Linked DNA regions of Macaca fascicularis. The protein of the gene in region 2 binds, or shares a complex with, the protein of the main gene of each other region. Links are inferred from orthologs where the notes say so. Each region holds a gene or a part of one and is shown on either strand. Other genes may lie near its edges. The genes, in order: MYO7B and CDHR5.

The links.
Region 1: CDHR5 (region 2) and MYO7B share a complex: the UniProt entries of both Homo sapiens proteins name them as parts of the IMAC/intermicrovillar adhesion complex. The link is inferred for Macaca fascicularis from reciprocal best matches to the Homo sapiens genes CDHR5 and MYO7B.

What each region holds. Positions count from the first base shown.
Region 1 is NC_088386.1:3,907,870-3,911,678, forward strand, and holds part of MYO7B (unconventional myosin-VIIb), read right to left. Parts: intron 2,729-3,809; coding exon 2,611-2,728; intron 2,520-2,610; coding exon 2,393-2,519; intron 1,323-2,392; coding exon 1,159-1,322; intron 68-1,158; coding exon 1-67. UniProt on the Homo sapiens protein: Myosins are actin-based motor molecules with ATPase activity. Their highly divergent tails are presumed to bind to membranous compartments, which would be moved relative to actin filaments.
Region 2 is NC_088388.1:521,868-524,844, reverse strand, and holds part of CDHR5 (cadherin-related family member 5), read left to right. Parts: intron 1-566; coding exon 567-659; intron 660-806; coding exon 807-908; intron 909-1,014; coding exon 1,015-1,125; intron 1,126-1,211; coding exon 1,212-1,382; intron 1,383-2,070; coding exon 2,071-2,161; intron 2,162-2,326; coding exon 2,327-2,424; intron 2,425-2,543; exon of another isoform or gene 2,544-2,602; coding exon 2,603-2,803; intron 2,804-2,956; coding exon 2,957-2,977. UniProt on the Homo sapiens protein: Intermicrovillar adhesion molecule that forms, via its extracellular domain, calcium-dependent heterophilic complexes with CDHR2 on adjacent microvilli. Thereby, controls the packing of microvilli at the apical membrane of epithelial cells.

The DNA.
Region 1 (3,809 bases), on a different chromosome or scaffold from region 2:
AGCAGCCCCTGCTTCTTTGTCAGGACCAACAGGTCCCCCTTCTTGAAGGCCAGGAGGGTGGCGTCATCTGTAAGGGTAGGGAGGCTGCCATTTGCTGAGGGCTCTGCAGGGGCCAGAGGCTGTGCTGGCATTTTGGGGGTCATCTCCCTTGACGGATGAAACAGAGGCACAGAGTGGTGGGCAGAAGACCACCCCAAGAGTGAGCAGTGGTGGGACTGGAACCTCAGGGGCCTCAGACAGCTGTCACCTGCTACAGCTGCACAGGCGCAGAGCCCAGGGTGCGCGGGGGCTCGAGAGCTGTGACTGCAGCCCTAGCCCTGGGAGACCCTCGGAAGGCTGACCAGGAGCCAGGGATGAGGGAGGGGAGGATGCACAGGCTGGCGGTCCCCACGCCTGGCCTGAGTGCTGCCTGCCTCTCTAGCCCGCTTCCTCATCTGGAATTTGGAGATGGCAATCCTCTTTCCCTCGTGCGGTGGCCGTGAGTACTGAATGGGGCAACAGGGCAGCACATCTCAGCTGACGTTTCTCACTGCCCAAAAACCCCACGCACAGCCTCTTCTGCTGCATCCCAACCAGCACCCCCTTCTGAAGCCCCTGCACTAACTGCACCACCCACTGCCCATGACTGCCCCGCCAGCAGCCTGGGCCAGCAGGGGTCCTGGGGCTTTGTTATGCTCCCCCACAGCCCACAGACACAGCCCAGCTCTCTGGAGTGCTGGCTTGCAGGAGAACTGCGGCCAAGAACTAGGCTCCTCCCCCTTGAGCTGTGTGACCCTGGGCGAGCTACCTCCGTCTCTGGGCCTCTGGCCTCGTGCCTGTAAAACGGGATAATGGGGTGCTTCTGCAGCAGTGCACTGTGGGGATGGTGTTCAAAGCTTCCCTGGGCTGGAGGCTGGCCCCTCTCGGTGCTTTTGCAGCCGTGCAGCGCTGAGCATGGCTGGCCTTGCGGGGCTGGAGACCACCTCCTTTAGCCCCTCATTTTGTAGAAGAGGAAGCAGTGGCTGAGAGAAGGTAGGGCCTGGTCTAAAGTTGCCCCCACAGAGCTTTGGGGCCCGCCCTCCCTCTGCTTGCCTTGCGGCTGCCGTGTGTGGAGATGAGCACGCCGCGTCCCTACAGACCCCACGCGCAGCCCTCCCCCCACCCCACCCAGTCTGGCACCTGTGGCCTTCCTGTCCTGTAGGGCCATGGCGAACACGGACCTCTCCTTCAGGCCCTCCAGGAACAGGGCCACCAACTCAGCGATGGCCACGCTGCTGGGCGACACAAACTCGTATTCCTCATGCATGGTGGAGAGCAGCAGCCTCTGCCTGCCCTGGGCCTCCCTGGACACAAAGGGCAGCATGACCAGGAGCCCCCTCCACCTCCCCGTGATCCAGCCCCTCAACAGCCTCAGGAGGTGGGACTGGGGGTCCTGGGTCACAGATGAGGACACAGAGCTGCTCTACCAGGGCCAGGACCAGGCCAGACACCACTGTGGGTCTGGACAAATGAAGGACGGCGGGGCACAGGGTCCCTCAGAGGCTGCAAGTGGTGCAGCCCGTGTGTGGGGTCGGCTCTGGGCAGATAATGAGGTGGCCGGCGTGCAGGGACACCACAGGGACGCTGCAAAGATCAGAGCTGAGCTGAGTCGGCGGCTCTGCCATGTGCTAACTCTAAGCCACCTAGCCTCGGCGTGCCACAGTTTACTCATCTGCAGAACAGGTGATGCTGTCAGGACTTCGTGGCATACAGGAAAGTACCCAGCACAGACAGCCTCAGTGAGAGGTGGCCAGTGGGGAGAGGTGGCCAGTGGGGAGTGGTGGCCACTGTACACCTGGCACAGCCCAGAGATGCATGTGCCACTCTGTCGTGTGCTTTAACCAAGGGGCACTCTGGCAGGGCTTGGGTGGGACTTCCCAGAAGGCATGAAAAAGTTCCCAGTCAACGAGAGCCATGGAGACCCCTGGGAGTGGGGGTCAGCCCCAGCCTAAGAGGCCCCCCTGCCCTGCCCCGTGCCCCGGGACACACCAGGCACTGTCCCTTGCCGCTGTCCCAGACAATCTGTACCCTCCAGGCTACCAGTTCTCGTCCATGACAAAGAAAGGAGCCTTCTAAATAAGTGCACACCAGAGGCTGCACGCTTCTGTGCCCTTTCCGGGTGGATCTGGGTTTCAAAGAGAAGCTGCGAGTGCAACCGTGATGCTCCAATGGAGTACTTCGTGGGCAGTGCAGCCTGGTGTGGGAGGGTAGGACTCCCAAGTACAGAGGGCATTGTATACGTCGATTCTTGTCCCACCACCCTGGCCTGTCACCCGGGAGCGCACGCCGCCCCTCTCCCCATCTCTCCCTGAGCCCCCAGATGCATCAATCCAAGGACTCAGGGTGTGAGGAGATCTTCCCTCAGGGCCCCCACCTGTTGGCAACCAGACCCATGACCTCTGGGAAAGAGAGCTCCAGCAGCGTCTTCTCCCGCTGGTCCAGGAAGCAAAGCCCCTTCCAGTTAACAGCCAAGATCAGCTGCGTCTTGGGCAGGCGGGGGCCTGGCCAGGAGAGACGGCAATGTGAGGGCTGCATGGGATCCCTGGGTGCCCAGCCCGTACCCGCTCCCCGCCCCCCATCAGATGCCATTACCTGAGAGTGTGGTGACTTCAAAGAGCCGGGAGAAGAGCAGCGGCCACTGCAGGCGGGCGGCGTCCACCACCTGCTCTCGCACGGCCAGTGGTGTGGCTTGCCTCTCAGCGTATGGGGCCTGAGAGGGGGATCCTGGATGTCACTTCCATCACCTGCCTCCCCAGTGAATCCCTCACCCAGTGCTCAGGGTAAAAGAGTTGGTGGATCCTTCTGAGAAGCCTCGACTTAAAGCGAGGCCAGTGCCTGGAGACGGATCCTGCAGGGAGGGACCTGGGACGTCCCCAGGGACTGGCGCAGCCCTATTTTTTTTTTTTTTTTTTTTTTTTTCTTTTTTGAGACAGAGTCTCGCTCTGTCACCCAGGCTGGAGTGCAGTGGTGCGATCTCGGCTCACTGCAAGCTCCGCCTCCCGAGTTCAAGCAATTCTCCCGCCTCAGACTCCCAAGTAGCTGGGACTACAGGCGCGTGCCACTGCGCCTGGCTAATTTCTGTAGTTTCAGTAGAGACAGGGTTTTGCCATGTTGGCCAGGCTGGTCTCAAACTCCTGACCTCAGGTGATCCACCTGTCTTGGCTTCCCAAAGTGCTGGGATTACAGGCGTGAGCCACCGTGCTGCCCTATTCTACCTGGGAGGGGTGTGGGGACCCGTTAGGAGGAGGGAGGAAAGCCGTTCCCTGTCCCCTCATTAGCATCTGTAGGGCGGGGCTGCGCTAGCTGTGGAAGGCGCTGTGTGCCCCAGCCCAGGCTCGCTCTTGCCCGCCTATGCTTGTGGGTCTGTGACTCGCTCCGTGCAGGAGGGCATCCTGCTCCGAGTCTGTGTCCCGGGCGCTTCTCTCTTCTTCTCTGGAGCTCTGCTTTGTCTCTGGGGGCCTCTCTTGGGGACCACCTCTAGTTCCTTGTCTTCCAGTTTCCTTCCTTCCTCTTTCCTGATTCCCTGCCTTCACCCGTTCCTCTCCCCAGCACCACTGTGCCGTGTCCATCAGCGACCATAATATCCAACCAAACTTTCTTTTCACTGTTTGTTTAATACAGTGTTATTTCTTTAAAAAGTGGCTACTATTCACATACTGACTTTGGGAATGTAATAAACGCATCAAATCTGAAGGGTGATCTGAAAATATTCAATATGTATCAAATGTTTAGAATGTCCATACAGTCTGGCCCGGGGGGTTCCCAAGCACCCAGCGAGGGGATGCTGAGGC
Region 2 (2,977 bases):
AGCTTGACCAACATGGAGAGACCCCGTCTCTTCTAAAAATAAAAAATTACCCGGGTGTGATGGCGGCGCCTGTAATCCCAGCTACTCGAGAGGCAGAGGCAGGAGAACCGCTTAAACCTGGGAGGCAGATGTTGCAGTGAGCCAAGATCACGCCACTGCACTCCAGCCTGGGTGACAGAATGAGACTCTGTATCCAAAAAGAAAACAAAGAAAAGAACTGGATTGTCTTTCCTCGCTTGAGATTCTGCTGGTTGCATCCCCAAGTACCTGCATTATTTTTCTGTGGCGCACCTGCCACCTCCTGGCTTTATAAAGTCCTTTTTGTCTGTTGTTGTAAGTCCTGCCAGGACAGGCACCACCGGGCAGAGATTTGTCTCTTGTGATCTCTGCATCCCAGCACCTAGAGCTGTGCAGCCCCCCTGCAGCCCCCCAACACCACTGAGCGAGTGGACGGATAGCTGTCGAGGGGTGCACCTCACTCACGATGGGGAAGGATAGCGTCGAGGGGTACACCTCACTCATGATGGGGAGCGGCTGTGGGAGAGGCTGACGGCCACATCCTGCAGGTGACCCAGCTGAGGGTGTTCGTGTCAGTGCTGGACGTCAATGACAACGCCCCCGAATTCCCCTTTACAACCAAGGAGATAAGGGTGGAAGAGGTGAGGCCAGCGAAGCTGCCAGGGCTGGGCAGGGGGTGCGGGAGCCCAGGGTGAGGGCAAGGGGCGAGTGGTGGCCGGGGGCTCAACCACAGCGGGGGTCCACAGGGGCCAAGAGTGTGGCCAGACCAAGCCCCTCTCCCTCCCTAGGACACTAAAGTAAACTCCACCGTCATCCCTGAGACAGAACTGCAGGCCAAGGACAAAGACAAGGATGACCTTCTGTTCTACACCCTCCAGGAAGCGACCGCAGTCAGTGCCGCCTGCCCTGCCCCAGCGTGAGCCCCTCGCCACTGACACCCGCAGCCGCCCTCGCCCTCCCAGGCTCTTAGGCTGTGTCCTCCCTGATCCTCCCCAGGGTGCCAGTGACTACTTCTCCCTGGTGGGTGTAAACTATCCCGCCCTGAGGCTGGACCGGCCCCTGGACTTCTACGAGCGGCCCAACATGGCCTTCCGGCTGCTGGTGCGGGTGAGCGGCTCACCCCAGCCCTGAGTCCCACATGCTTGAGGTCCCCCTGGCCCCAGCTGCTCCCAGGCCTGATCTGGCTGTTGCAGGACACTCCGGAGGAGAATGTGGAGCCCAGCCACACGGCCACCGCCACGCTGGTGCTGAACGTGGTGCCTGCCGACCTGCGGCCCCCCTGGTTCCTGCCCTGCACCTTCTCAGACGGCTACGTCTGCATCCAAGCTCAGTACCACGGGGCTGTCCCCACGGGGCACACACTGGTAATGGGGAGGGAGGGGCAGTGCCCGGGGCGGGGCCTTCTAGGCAGGTTGGAGGCAGGGACGGCCAGGATCAGAAGAAGGGCAGGGTCAGGGTCAGCGGGTGGGGCCAAGTTTGGTTGTGACTTTGAAACAAATACAGACTCTCCTTATAAACCAATCTTTCCCATCTTGAGGGAGCAAACCCTGAACACACAGAGAGGAGTGTGGGCCCCAGAGCCAGGCGGTCTCAGGGGCCTGGGGAGGTGGGCTGGGGCCCTGGAGTTCTTAAGGGATGGTGAGATCTCTGCCCTGCTCACAGTCACCACTAGGCCCACACAGGCTGTCTGCAAACCTTCACAGCACCAAGGCACCCGGGGCCACCAAACAGCACATGAGAGGCAGAAACGCAGACCCCGGGAACCCCCCGCTTCCTAAATGTCTGCTTAGCCGTCAAGACAAGCATCGTGCAAATGGCACTCAGTATCTTTGGGCAACTTATTCGTTAGTGAGGGACCCACAGGGGTGTGACTCACTGTGATACTGGGACAAGGGACAGTCCTAGACAGGCAGGGATGCCCGGCCACCAGCGGGACTGGGCCCCTCCTCAGCCAGCCCTGCCCTGGCTGACCTTGATGGGGAGCCAGAGGGGCCAGGTTGGGGCCATTCACCCCAGCCTCACGACGTGCCCTCCTCTCCACCATCCTTGAAGCCATCCCCCCTCGTCCTGCGTCCCGGACCCATCTACGCCGAGGATGGAGACCGCGGCATCAACCAAGCCATCATCTACAGCATCTTCAGTGGTGAGTGGGGCCCAGCCCTCAACAATGCCCCGGACCCCTCTCTGTCCCTGTCTCTGTCCCCACCTTGGGCTGGGGAAGCCCCAGGGGCACCTGCCAGCAAGGCAGAGCTGGCTGGGTCCCTGGGCCTCAGGAGGCCGGGACTGAGCACTTCCATCGTCCTCCCAGGAAATGTGAACAGTACATTTGTCATCCACCGAGACTCCGGCAACCTCACCATGGCCAGGAGTGTCCCCAGAGCCATGACCTTTCTTCTGCTGGTGAAGGTGAGGTAGGGACCTGCACGGGGGGCAGGGCAGTGGGGGCAGGGTGGAAGGTAGGGCGGGGGTCAGGGCGGGGGGGCAGGGCCCCTGCCAAGTCTGCATCTATTCTTCCTGAGCCCCAGGCTTCAGCACCAGCTCCACCGTCAACCCCACGAGTCACGGCTGCCTCCCCCGCCTCCAGGGCCAGCAGGCCGACCTTGCCCGCTACTCAGTGACCCAGGTCACCGTGGAGGCTGTGGCTGCAGCCGGGAGCCCGCCCCGCTTCCCCCAGAGCCTGTACCGTGGCACCGTGGCACTTGGCGCTGGAGCAGGTGTTGTGGTCAAGGATGCAGCTGCCCCCTCTCAGCCTCTGAGGGTCCAGGCTCGGGATCCGGAGTTCTCGGTAGGTAGCACACGCAAGGCTGATGCCTGCCGCCCCCACGGCAGCCTTCCTGTTGCCCAGGGTCCCTGGGTCCACCCGGCCTCCCCTCTGTGGGTGGGTCAGGGCTGCAGATGGGAGGCAGCCTGGCCGGGGACTCAATGAAACCCTGTCCAGGACCTCAACTCGGCCATCACG